Canis lupus familiaris: one gene and its partners. The protein of the gene in region 3 interacts with the protein of the main gene of each other region in a pairwise test. Links are inferred from orthologs where the notes say so. Each region holds a gene or a part of one and is shown on either strand. Other genes may lie near its edges.

Region 1 (4,040 bases), on a different chromosome or scaffold from region 3:
GTGACTGACAAGTGTGTACCTATGTGTTCATCTGTCTCTGTGTGTTTTTCTCTGGAGTGTTCCTATTTAAGCTTCAGACTCTCCTGATTTCTGGTGTGCATTTCCACGTGGGTATCCTGACTGGGTTTGCCAGTGCATCTGCGTGGAGTCACCCTGTGAGTTTACCTTTGATAGGAGTGTGTGACAATCTCTCTGTTGCGTGAGTGTTGTAGGAGCAAGCACGGTGTGTGTGTGTGTGTGTGTGTGTGTGTGTGTCATTCGTTGGCGTGCAGGGGTGTATTTCTCTTGTCTGCCTGAGTGACTGTGGTCCTGGCATGTCCCTCTTGCCTTGCTGTCTCATCTTTCCCAGCACTCAGCACGCCGGGTACATCATACATGTGTTTGTTTCCTCCCTCCTCAGAATGTCAGCTCCCGGAGGGCAGGACTTGGTGTTATTTTGTTCACAGCACTGTCCCCAGTACCCACAGCGTGCTGGGCACCAGCGGGCGCTCAATATAACACTGTTGACTGAATGGTTGCTGCGTGCAACGTGTGAGTGTTTCTCCGGTTGTGCGATTAATTTCGGTGTGATGCTGGATTGGTGGGGTTGGGGGGACTATGAGAACTTCTGGCGTGGGTGTGTGTAATTGGCTCATAATACATACAAGCTTGTACGTGTGTGCAAAAGTGTCTACCATGTGACTGAATGAGCCTGCGTGTGCCTGGGAAGCCTGAGTGTAATCGACTCCCGTGTGCGTGTGTGCGCGCGCGCTAGCGTGTTGGTGCATTTCTCACGTGTGTTATGGCGTACTTGTCTGGCGTGCTGGTGCGAACCTGTGCGTGCCTGGGGGTGTGTGTGTGTGCGTGTGCACACTCGAGGCTCGCACTCCTCGCCCTCCGCGCGCCCCGCGCTCGGGCTGGGGGCGGGGAGCGGGGGTGTGGCCAGGGCACTGCGGCTCGGCTGCCCGCCCCCGGCGCTGCGGCTCCGGCGCGTCACCGGCCCGCCCCGCCCCGCCCCCGCCGCCCGCCCCGCCCCCCGGCCCTTTGTAGCCGGCCGCCCCGCGCGCTCGCCGCCGCCCGGAGGCCCCGCCCCGCCCCGCCCCGCCCCGCGCCCCGCCCCGCCCCGCCCCGCCCGCCCCGCCCCTCCCCGGGCCGCAGTCGCCGGGGCCGCCGCGGGCCCGCAGCGAGCGGGGAGCGCGGCGCACGGCGGTGGCCAGGGCGGCGGGCGGCGGGCGGGCGGCGGGCGGGCGGGCGGCCTCGCAGCGGCATGGCGGACCGGCGGCGCGCGTGGAACACGGAGGACGACCTGCCCGTGTACCTGGCGCGGCCGGGCAGCGCGGCGCAGACGCCTCGCCAGAAGTACGGCGGCATGTTCGCGGCGGTGGAGGGAGCCTACGAGAACAAGACCATCGACTTCGACGCCTACAGCGTGGGCCGCCGCGGCTCGGCGCGCACGCCTCGCAGCGCTGGCCGGCCCGACGCCGTGGGGCTGCCGGGGCCCGGCGGCAGCGAGGACACGGCCAGCGACGGGAGCGAGCTCTCGGGCTCGGCAGTCAGCTCGCCGGGCGAGCGCGAGGAGCGACCGCCCGCGCTGCGCATCCGTTGCCCCGCGCCCCGCGACCTGCCGCTCGGCCGGGACAATGGCCAGGTACCCTCAGGGCGCGCGCCGACCGGCGGGGGGGGGGGGGGGCGGGACCCTCGGGGACGCCCGGGCCGCTGCCCTCGGGCTCGAGAGGGCCGCGGAAGGCCCCTCCCCCGCTCCATCCCACTGGAGGGCCCGAGCGGGGCTACCATTTGGTCGGGGTTGGTCAGCCCAGCCCGGGAGACTCCAAAGGGTCCTTCGCGATCCAGCCCCCTGCTGCTCTTCTGCAGAAAGGGGGAGCAAGGCTCTGAGCAGGAAAGTAAGTTGGCTACAGCTGCCACATGGACCCTTCAAAGCGAGGGGACCTCTGGGGTGAAGTTTAATCCAAGGAGCCCCGTTCTTTGCCTTTTGAAAAGAAGGGGAACTGCTTTCCGCATTAGTCCATTCATTTATTCACTCACTCATTAGTGATTATAGAGCCCCTACGGTGTACCAGGCTCTGGAAAAGGTTCAGTGAACCGCCTGTGGTCACACAGGTTAATGCTCAAAGAAGCCTTTCCTGTGTGCTCCCTCTGTGCTTTCTGGGGGGAAAGATTTGCTTAAAGATTTGGATGGGTCGGGCACATAGAACTAGAAACTGCTATCCCCAGGCACCGACATTTTCAGGGGATGCTGCTGAGTCGCCCAGCACGACGCCAGTGGGCTCCCTTCACAGAGCAAGTTGGAGGCAGAGCGGAGACTTGAACCCGGCTCTCCAGCTTCCTAGACTTGGAGGTTTTTACCCTCCGAAAGTGAAGGGGCGTCAGAGAGAGGGAATGCCAGGCCGTGGGCCCTATGGCTCTTCTCCCTTAAGCTAGAGGTCGCCAGGGAATTGGACGAAGATGGATGGGTAGACAGCACAGCTTTGGGATGTGTGCGTAAGGGTCGGGGTCAGATGCTAGAACAACGGAAGTTGGAGCACTTGAGGACCAGCGAGCTGTCAGCTTAGCCCAGAACTCGAAGTCTGAGCACTGCTCAGGTCCCAGCTCCCCCCCTCCCCCCAGTACATGCTGGGGTCCCGACTCAGCACACTGGCCCCACCCCAGGCCAGGGTGGGCGATAGATTCATGGTGAGAATCAAATCAGTTAATGCCGGTACTCAGTGAGCAATAAATGTTCGTTGTTGGATTTTACTATCATTTTTTATTGCCCCTTCTCCCCTTAAATACTATGAGAGGCATAAAGTGAGCGGGAGGAAGCAGAGCTCGATCCAGACGGAAATCTGGGAGGGCTTCCTGGAGGAGTGGGGGCTGGGCCGGCCTGCGGCTGCTTGGACGCAGTACGGGATCTCCTGCTCCCATCCTCGGGCTCTCGGCCTTCCGCCCCCGGAGCTCGGGAACTCTCCGTGGTCCTGAAGTCGGCGCCCTGAGAGGGGGAGGTCTACACTGATGGCGGTGGGGGTGGGGGGAGGTCAAGGGAGGGGGCTATCGGGAGTCATCTCCTTGTCCCTACCCCTTCTTATTCTCCCTGACCACTTGCTTCCCTCGTGGTCGACCCTGTTTGGGGTTCAGGCTTCTGAGCGCGAGCGGGAGACTTCAGGGCTGCGGATCCAGATGCCCGGGTCGGTACCGGTAACCCCTGTTTCCAGCCGAGGCCCTTTGCCCTCTTGAACCTCAGCTTCTCCACCTGTGAAATGGGGATGGCATTTTCCTCCCAGCCACCCACAAGGCGTGGTGGAGGATCAGGGAGGCGAGAGCGCTTTGTGCACGTCGGGAAGCTGTCTGGAAGTGCGTCCCTGCCGGAGCTACGGCCAGCGGCCCCGGAGCCAGCATCGCCCCCGGCTCTGCCTGCGACGGCTCCGCAGCCGCGCCTAGGCACTTGGGGGCGGTGGTCGCTTCACCTCTTCCACTCTTCCCTCTCCCCTTCTGGCCCTCTCTTCCCTTTCTCCATGGCTTCCCGGGGACTGGACAAAAGGCGGCGCCTGCGGCGCGCCTAGGGCTCCGGAAGCTCTGGAGGTTTGGGACTGCGGACACGAGGGGCTCACGGTCTCCCAAGGGGAAGCCTTTTACTTTCTGCGGACCAAGCGGCCACGGGGCTCGGGTTCCGGGGCGGGCTTCGCGGCTCCAGAGCTTTGCAGAGGGCACGGGGCGGGGGGTGGGGTGGGGGCGGGAGCGGGGGTCCTCCCCCCGCCCAGAAAGCTCTCTCCCGGTGAGGGAGGAGGAGTTTCTGCGGCGCAGGCGCAGCCTTTGCTGAGGCCGGAGGCCCCGCGACTGCGGCGCTTTGTACCCGGGAAGTCTGCATGGGAGCAGCGATCTGTGTGGCCAATCGCGGGCCGGTGCCCCTCCCCCGATACGCACGTGGTCTCGTCCCCAGCTCTGGAGCTTTCCTGCCCAGACTGACCCCCGGGGACGTCCTGGTGCGGAACCCAGGACTTAACCACGCTGAGGAAGGGAATGGGGGCGGCATGGGACCCGAGACTGGCAAATTCCGGTCATCAACG
Region 2 (4,209 bases), about 39 Mb from region 3:
CTTAGGAATATCAGGGCCTGATCCACCCCTCACTTCTGCACCAGCAACTACAAGTGCTCAGGGAGGTCTTGGCAACAAACAGAAAGAAACACTGTTGGGTCTGGTGCTATCAGCCTGCACAGCATCACATCCTCCCCATAGAGGCCCGGAAATCACCCACCAGGCCCCTAGGCCACCTCCTATTCCTCTGGGGCAGGAAGAGGAAGTGAATGTAAGGTCACTCTCTCTTCCCTAAGCTTGGGGCAGCCCCCTCCAGGAAGCCCTCCCGGGAGCCTCCTGGCACCCTAAGGTCCAGCAGGGCTTGGGGAAGGGCCTGATCTCTGGCCTGTCCACCACAATCCACAGTGGGGAGAGAGGAAGAGGAACACATGTGGGCAGCCCTGACCTCACCCTGTACACACCTTATTTTCACAGAATGTATGCACTAGTCCCAAGATGTAGAGAGAAGGTGCAGGGCACAAGGAGCAGACTCCAGCTCCCTGGAAAGCCCTTCCCTCTCCACATTCTCGCTTTGGGAGCCTCTCCTGTCATGCAGGAATGAGTGCTTAGAGTCCGCCCTCAGTCTCTTCTACTACACCTTGAATAAGCAGCCCTTTTGTCCTTAGAAGAAGTGAGGGAAGTGGGATGCCCATTGCTCAGAATGCCACACCCACACCCTCCCTTCTGCCAAGGGAAGGATGAAGCCTGCCCGGGGTCAGGGCAGATAAAGGGACAGAGTGGCTTAAGGCTCAGAACAAAACTGCCCCCCCCCCCCCCCCGCCCCTTCCCTCTGCTACAAATAGCTTCCTAAGCTGGATTCAGGGCTGGTAATCCAGGAAGAACAAACCTCAGACCTGTGTGATTAGGGTCAAAAGAGACCAGGGGGTGCCAGGATGGAGATCCCTGGAACCCAGGTCTCAGCTTCTATAGAGGAAAGGTTCCCATGAAGCCCCTTCCCCCACTCATCTCCCACAGATGCCCCATCTCTAAGGACTACGGATTTCCTCCAAATTAGGAGACACATGGCAGTACATGGGCTGGAAGCCCCTACAGTTACAAAATAGTCTCTAAAGTTACCTAAGACCCAGACAGGTCAGCTTGACCTCTAAACATCCTATAAGTTCTGCCCTCATTCTAAATGCTGCCATTGCCAGTTATAGCTCAATTGGCACTACCATCAAACTGGTCCAGGACCCCTCCCTCTACTAGTGTCTGCTTGGGCGAGGCAGTTCAGTGTTCTGGGGGCCCCGCCAAGAATGGCTGCTGCCTGGCTCAGAGAGGAGAAGCTGGTCCCCCAGGGACCCAGATGCACAGGCCTAGACCTGCCATTACAGTCCCCTCCACTGCTGTCTGGCAGCCTTGGGCTCTGCTGCTCCTGCAGCTCCAGAGCTCAGGTCTGCTCCAGCACCTGCCCCCTTCCACCAAAGAGGGGTCTCAACAGTGCTCTCACAGAGGGGCCAGTGCAGGATTCTGATAAATGAAACTACATTGGAGGACCACTCTCTCTCCAAATGCCTGTTTTTGAGGCTCAGCCACTGCCTCTGCCATGAGGCTTCGTAGCCCTTGTTCTCTGCCTGGCAACCTCCTCCCTTGTCCTGAATGCCCAGTTATCTGCCTCCAGGCAGCAGCCATAAGCAGTCCTGTGGGGCCTTCAGTACTATTGACAAAAGAGCCCTATTTACAGAGCATGCACAGCATGCGAGGCACTATGCAAAATCGGAAAATTAGTTTTCACAACAGCCCTATATAATAGGTGCCATTATCCCCCATTTTACAGATGAACATGCTCAGAGGTGAAATTACTCACCCAAGGTCACACTGCCAATTACATGGCATAGCTGGGACTTCAACCCAGGCAGTTCAGCTCAGAAACTTAACCACAGTGGGAGACTAGGCCTCCCGGAAGAAGACAGGTTAAGGGGGATGGAGGGCATTAACCTACTCCCTTGAGAGGGCCCAGAGCCAACCCACTGAGGTTTCCTGCCCAGTCCTTTCCTGGGGTTGGAGGATGGCCCCAGACTCTCTGGGTAATCTGGAGTGACGGCATTTAATGATCAGGGCGACTGGAGGGTCTTAAGGTCACCTAAGTAGCTCAGCCTCCTCCTAGCCTCCAGGGTGAGGACTGAGGACAGAATACACTCAGCATCCATCCTCATTATTGCAGAGAAAAGCCTCAAAGGGCTCGGAAGACTCTATGAGGAAGGGGTCACAGTTGCAGCTGCTGCCTCACCTCCACCATGGGAAAGGGGGATGGCCTCCTCAGAAAGATAGGAGTAGGGTGAAAATAAATATCTAAAGGGAGAAAAGGCGGGTACAAGGAGATCTCAGGCTGGAAGGCAGAAGGGTAGGGGATTCAAGCGAGGGGTACCCGGGTGGGGGAGGGGAGGCGGGAGTGGGGGGTAGGGCGGGAAAGGGGGCGGGGGCCCAGGCTCAGCGCACGGCGCACAGCGAGTGCCCCCTCCCGCGCGCTCTCCCTCCCGCCCTCCCGCCGCGGGCGGCGCTGCCTCGCCAGTGCTCACCGCCCGTGATCCGCTGCAGCCCCAGCACGTCCTCTGGCCCGATCCGCTGCTTCCTCTGCAGCGGCCCCGGCCTGGGCCCCGGGCCAGCCTCCGGCTCTGACTCGGACCCGGACTCGGATTCCGCCTGCAGCTGCGGCTCGGGCTTGGGCTCCACGCTCGGGCCAGGGGCCCCAGAAGCGGGCTCCGCCCCCGTCCCAGCCCCACCGCCGCCCTTTTTCACCTTCATGGCCTCGCGGGGCCACCGCTCGCTTGCTGCCGCGGCAGCTGCCTGCGCCGGCTGGAGCCGAGAGAAGGGGGAGCGTCCGCAGCCCCGCCCCCGGCCAGGGCCCCAGGTACCGCCCCGCCCCCGGGGGTGGGCCAGGCACGGGCCCCGCCCACCCCTGCGAACGCCAACCTGGGTCCACTCCCCCGGGGCCGGGTGGGGCCTCGCTTTGGGCTTCATTCATTTTTTCCGCTAGGTCCTGCTAGGTCCTTGAAGGGATCACTACCTCTCTTCCTTACTCGCGCCACTCTGTCCTTCTGTCTGCCCCTCAAGCAAGTTCCCGCCTCAGGATCTTTGCCTGGGATGTGCTTCCCCCAGATGGCTTCCTCTTCTGGTCTCAGTTCAAATGTCATTTGCTCAAAGGCCCCCCTCACACCCAATCTAAAGTACTACCCCTCAGTCACTGTCTGATCAGCCTGTTTTTTCCTTCTAATGCATTATCTGAAATTAATTTTACTTGTTCACTGACTCTTTCCCCAAAAGATCAGTTCCATGAAAGTAGAGATCCTGTCTTTGTTCTCTATAATACCTAGCATTTAACACAGTGGCTACTGCAGCCTGTGCTTAACATATTCTTTTTCTGAGTTTATGAATGAGTATTTGAGGGCTTACACTGGTACAAGCTATTGTCTTCCAGACCTCCTGCGAAAAAAAGCAGTATATGCTAACAGCTTTGTTGTGAAACCCTGGACATGCTGAGGGACAACAGCCTAGGCACTTCACTACAGGGCCCACAGGGCAGAGAGGCACAGCCTCCTTGTAGGGCGCATGGCCAGGTGGAAGCAAGGTAGACCTGTGAGTCCAGGTCAGATACTAGGAAACCATTACTTAGACACAAATGAAGAATGAAAGGTTTGCTCATACTTCATATCATTTCAATTCAGTCAACCAATGTTTATTGAGAGCTTACCATGTGCCAGACACTTTCATATGTTTATCACATTTAATCCTCATAACCACCTTGTGAGATATCATTGGTGCTATTTTAACAAGTGAAAAACTGAGGCTCAGGGAGATTAAGAGGCTTATCCAATGCTCCCCAGATGATAAGTGCAGAAGGTACAGAAACATCTGAATTCAGGCATGCTCGATCCCAAGTCTGAAACCTTCTCCACTGCACCACACTACTTCTATAAAAGGGTGAAGGGAAACTCTGCCACATGCGCAGCATCAGGCTACACCCAGTAGGCACAGCCAGCCAGGAGGGAGGGGAGGAAGGGAGAAGGTCCCAGGGGTGACCTGCTCCCTTCCGTGAGAGCAGTGCTAAGGTTCTCCCTGAGGGGTTGGAGAGAAGCATGGAGGGGAAGGGGCTAGAATCTGACCCAGGGCTTTCCCCTAATGCTCCCTCTGAGTGCAAGAGGACTGCAAGGAACAGGACAGAAGCACAACAAACTGTCCCTGCCCTGGAGGGAGACAGGGGAGGGCCTTCAATTTCAAGCCAGATAAGAC
Region 3 (4,200 bases):
GATGCCAAGACCCTGGGATCACGATCTGAGCCAAAAGCAGACGTTTAACCAACTGAGCCATCCAGGTACCCCTGGGGGCTGGTACTTTCCAAAGGCTCAGCAGCCTGTAGCTGTATTTAGAAAAAATAAAATACAACCACTGCTCAGTTATTATCTTGCTATAAGTCTACTCCAAGATCTGGCAAGAGCAGGAGATGGTATTTCCTGCATTTTAAATTCCCCTTTCCCACCCCAAGCCAGAGAAAACCAGAGGGTGGGCAAGGGCAGCATCTCTGGAGCCCTGTCACTCCCGCCAAGGGCTGAGTCACAGCCATGGCCCGTCTCAGCTTCTGTGGCCCAAGTGAGAGGGCATGTGTGCGGCTCCGGCCAAGTTCAGACATGCCCCTGATCTGACTTATCACTGCGTAATGCGGCCTCCTCTGCTCGCACTGCCCTCCCTGGATGTGCCCCTGGCCAGTGCAGCAGAAGCAGACACATGTTTTAGGGAAGAAGTAACTGCAAGACCTAAATGACCTGCATAGGGCAGCACGGCAGAAAGCACCAGTCACTCACATCCTGATGCTTTAACTCCAATTCCTAGACACTATCCACCCACCACCCGCCCGGCTTCAGAAACCCCACATTCCCACCCCAAAGCCACACACGGGGCAGTCCTGAGGCTGCAAGCCCTCCCTGTGGCACAGCGTGGCTCTGCCGCTGGCGGCTCGGGCGGACAAGTCCAAAAGAGGTAACATCTCAGGCTCAGAAATCTGCAGCCAAGGAACAGGCAAGAGTAAAACTAAACTCAACCTCTCATTCCCGACCTCAGGTTGCAGACTGAAACGTGTGCAGGGCACAGGCAGATAAACACAAAACTGGGAAGCATGAAGGCCACAAGACAACAGAGTCAACCAAGATAAAACAACTGAAAAGCTAAATGAAAAGCAACATGCACGCTAAACAAAACCAGTTTGCAACAGCACAGATGTAAGCTCGGCACTATTGACCATCGGGGCAGGGTCAGTATTTGTTGTGGGGGCCGTCCTGTGCACTGGGAATTCAGGAGCATCCCTGGCCTCTCCCCACTGGATGCCCATAGCATGCCCTCCCCTACTCCAGCTGTGAAGACTACAGATGTCTCCAGACATTGCCAAATGGACTCTGAGGGAGCGAGAGGGGGAACAAAATCTCCCTTTGTGAAGAACACCGGGCCAGAACTCTGTGAGAGGCCAAGTCCTAAGATCCCTTGCCAAGCGACCTTGAGAGTTTGCTGAGTTGCACGTTTCCATGCCGCCCACCGGCATGGCTAACCAGTCCTGCTGAAGAGCGCTCTGACAGTATGGCCTATGCCCTTGCGCATTTTCACCAGGTTTCCGGAAGAAGTGCTGGGACAGGACAGGAGAGAACAGGGACTGACCGGTCATGCGTGGAGAAGCTGTTGCTGTACCGCGTGTCTTTGGCATACTTGATCACCAAGCACTTGTACTGGGCAATCTGGAAGCGACGGACCCTTCTCATCAGCTCGGTACTGCAAGAGCAGAGCACTAGGTGAGACCCAGGATGTTAAGGAAGTCCCCATTAGCACAAGTGGGGCTCCCCCCCCACCCCTGCTGGGGGTCTACAGCCTGAGACCCACCAATGGACAGAAAAACCAGAGAGGACAGAGGGTGGTGATGGCAAGGAACAGAGGTCAGGTGGTCTGGGGAGGGGGTGGGAGAATAAATGTCTCAGGGATCTGATGGGGTGAGTAGAGTCAAAGGCCTCCGACAGAGAAGAGGGGTCTGGATTGCATCCCCAAAGAGTCCCATCCCAGAGGTCTTCACATGGTCTGCATTGACTTCGCAGTCTTTTGTTGTTGTTGTTCAAGAAAAAAAAGCAGTTACCTCTGGGTCCCAGAGCCCACCCTGGCCTGACTGTGGTGGGCACCAGGTTTGCCCTGCAGTGACCCCCCCCAGGGCAGAGGGCGTCACTCAGGGGGCCGACTAGCCCTGCCTGGGTCAGGCCACCGTCCTGTCACATCAGGGGAGCAAAGGCATCCTGGCCTGACTCCTTAGTGTGTAAACTACTTAAGGAAACAAACACTAGGAAGGGAAGGAGGAGTGTGGATGCTGCAGGGTGCACAGGACCCAGCTCACCGAGGACACCATTTTAGAAGAATTAAAATTTTAAATTGAAAAAAAAAAAACCAAAACGAAACGAAAAGACTTGGCTGCTCCTTTCCAAGAGAGATTTAGTGGGAGGGTGGGGGGAGGGAGGACTACACCCTCAGCAGCCATAACCTGCTGCAGGGGGGCGACGTGGTGCCATGACCCCATGGAAGGGTCTGAACCCCGCGGGCAGGGAAGAGGCGCCCTCCTGCAGGACCGCATGGGGCGGGAACGCGTGCTCGGTCCGGGGGAGGGGTCGTCCTGCAGGGGGGCACTGAGAGGGGCAGCAGGGGAGGAGGACGGGCCCCCGGAAGGGAGGGGGGAGAAGGCCGTCCCCGCGAGGACATTACTTATTTACCTTTTTCCTGAGAACATGGGTCCTAGAATCACCTAGGAGAGAAGGAGAGGTCACTTCGGGGCCCGCTGCGCACGGACTGCAGGCCAGGGCCACAACCCCAACCCCAACCCCAACCCGCACCCGGGTCGCGACCCCGGCCCGCCACCCGCGCCCGCCGGGGTGCCACCCCCGCGCCGGCACCTGGATCTGCCCCCGGGTCTTGCTGGGGGAGCCGGGCAGCACGGTGGGCAGGTTGATGCAGCTCATGGCGCCTGCACGAAGCCCGCCGCTCGGGAGCCCTCGGGTGCCACCGCCCAGCAGCCTGACCCGGGTGCCCCCGCCGCCGGCCTTTATCCCGGGCGCGCTGGCCAATCGGGAGCCGGCGCGGGCGCCCCGCAGCCAATCAGCGCGCGGCCGCGGACTGGCGGGAGATTCGAGCGCGGCCCGCCCCTCGTGGGCGGCCCCGGGGACCCGGCGGGCTCGCGTCACCTGGACGGTCGGCCCCGCCCCGGCCGCCGCCTCTAAAGGGCCTCTAAAGGGCCGGGGCGCGCCCTCTGGCCGGCCGCGGCGGGATGGAGGGCCCGGCGCCCTGGAAGCGGCTGTCCAAGGAGGTAGGCGGGTTGCGCCGAGCGGGGCGCGCGGGGCCTAGAGGCCGTTCCCCTCGGGGAGGCGAGCTTAGAGACCCAGAGCCCAGCCCCCCAGGGCGCCGGCGGCCCCTGTGCGCCGCTCCCAAAGCCCTAGCGCCGGCATCTCCTTTGCTTCTGGCCACAGGCAGGCTTCGGGGCGCCTGGTCTTCAGGGTAGAGAAAACAGGCTGTGCTAATATCCATAAAGGAGGCACAGTCCCGACACTGAGGTCCCACAACGTGGATGGAGGATGTGCCGGGGTGAAGGATTCGGAAAGGCCGGCGTTCACCGCAGGACAGGCAAAGCACTTACTAGGGTTATCACTCAACTATGATTTCCTAACTAGTTTCCCTGCATTTCAGGCTGTATTTTGGGTTGGTTTGGGTTGGTTTATTTGTTTTCCGGTCACGGATACATGTGAGAATCTGATAAGTTATGCATTCTGCCCCCGCCCCCCCCCAAGAAAACCCCGTTCTCTCTGTGTCAGAAACCCATTGCATTATTGTTATTGTACATAACGACAGGGAAGATGACGGTAGCAGTGACAGCGTGTGCCGCTATGTGCCGCAGGCACAGATTGTACAGGATCTAAAGAACGCTGGTCAGGCACCTCGTTCAACGGGAGGGGGCCATAACCCACATTTGAATGGTTAGTTTTACTTCATTTACATGCTTTATGTCCTTCAACCTTGTGATGCTACTATTATGCCCATTATGTAGATGGGGCTGAGGCCCAGAGAGCATAAGTAAGCTGCCCAGGGTAAAACAGCCTGTAAGGGATAGAACATGGATGGCATTCAACCCATCTGACACCAGAGCCCAGGACCCTTCCATGAAGCCACCCCGTCTTAAAATTTCCCATTTTAGGCTTCACTCTTTCTCCTTGCCTTTGAGCTCTTTCTCCCAAACCTGGTTCCTTGCTACTCTCTGCATTAATTCTGTGTCTTAGCCTGACATCTGAGATCCTCTCCCCGTAGTCCCTCCTTCCACCTCACCTCTGTGTCTCGGTGGTCTGACTCACCAGCATTTCCAAACTGACCTTTGATTCCTCTCTCCTGACCTTTGTTTCTTTGCCGTGACTCCTGCAATCAGAATCCCGCCCTCTCATGGG

The links. The genes of interacting proteins can lie anywhere in the genome.
Region 1: the proteins of TK1 (region 3) and CRMP1 interact in a two-hybrid assay, tested with the Homo sapiens proteins (2 studies listed by BioGRID and IntAct). The link is inferred for Canis lupus familiaris from reciprocal best matches to the Homo sapiens genes TK1 and CRMP1.
Region 2: the proteins of TK1 (region 3) and UNC119 interact in a two-hybrid assay, tested with the Homo sapiens proteins (2 studies listed by BioGRID and IntAct). The link is inferred for Canis lupus familiaris from reciprocal best matches to the Homo sapiens genes TK1 and UNC119.

What each region holds. Positions count from the first base shown.
Region 1 is NC_049224.1:71,649,435-71,653,474, reverse strand, and holds the start of CRMP1 (dihydropyrimidinase-related protein 1), read left to right. Parts: upstream 1-1,240; 5' UTR 1,241-1,246; coding exon 1,247-1,627; intron 1,628-2,741; exon of another isoform or gene 2,742-2,965; intron 2,966-3,052; exon of another isoform or gene 3,053-3,226; intron 3,227-4,040.
Region 2 is NC_049230.1:42,729,470-42,733,678, forward strand, and holds the start of UNC119 (protein unc-119 homolog A), read right to left. Parts: upstream 2,801-4,209; 5' UTR 2,725-2,800; coding exon 2,499-2,724; intron 1-2,498. UniProt on the Homo sapiens protein: Involved in synaptic functions in photoreceptor cells, the signal transduction in immune cells as a Src family kinase activator, endosome recycling, the uptake of bacteria and endocytosis, protein trafficking in sensory neurons and as lipid-binding chaperone with specificity for a diverse subset of myristoylated proteins.
Region 3 is NC_049230.1:3,864,610-3,868,809, reverse strand, and holds the start of TK1 (thymidine kinase, cytosolic), read right to left. Parts: upstream 2,801-4,200; 5' UTR 2,731-2,800; coding exon 2,665-2,730; intron 2,517-2,664; coding exon 2,485-2,516; intron 1,508-2,484; coding exon 1,397-1,507; intron 1-1,396. UniProt on the Homo sapiens protein: Cell-cycle-regulated enzyme of importance in nucleotide metabolism. Catalyzes the first enzymatic step in the salvage pathway converting thymidine into thymidine monophosphate.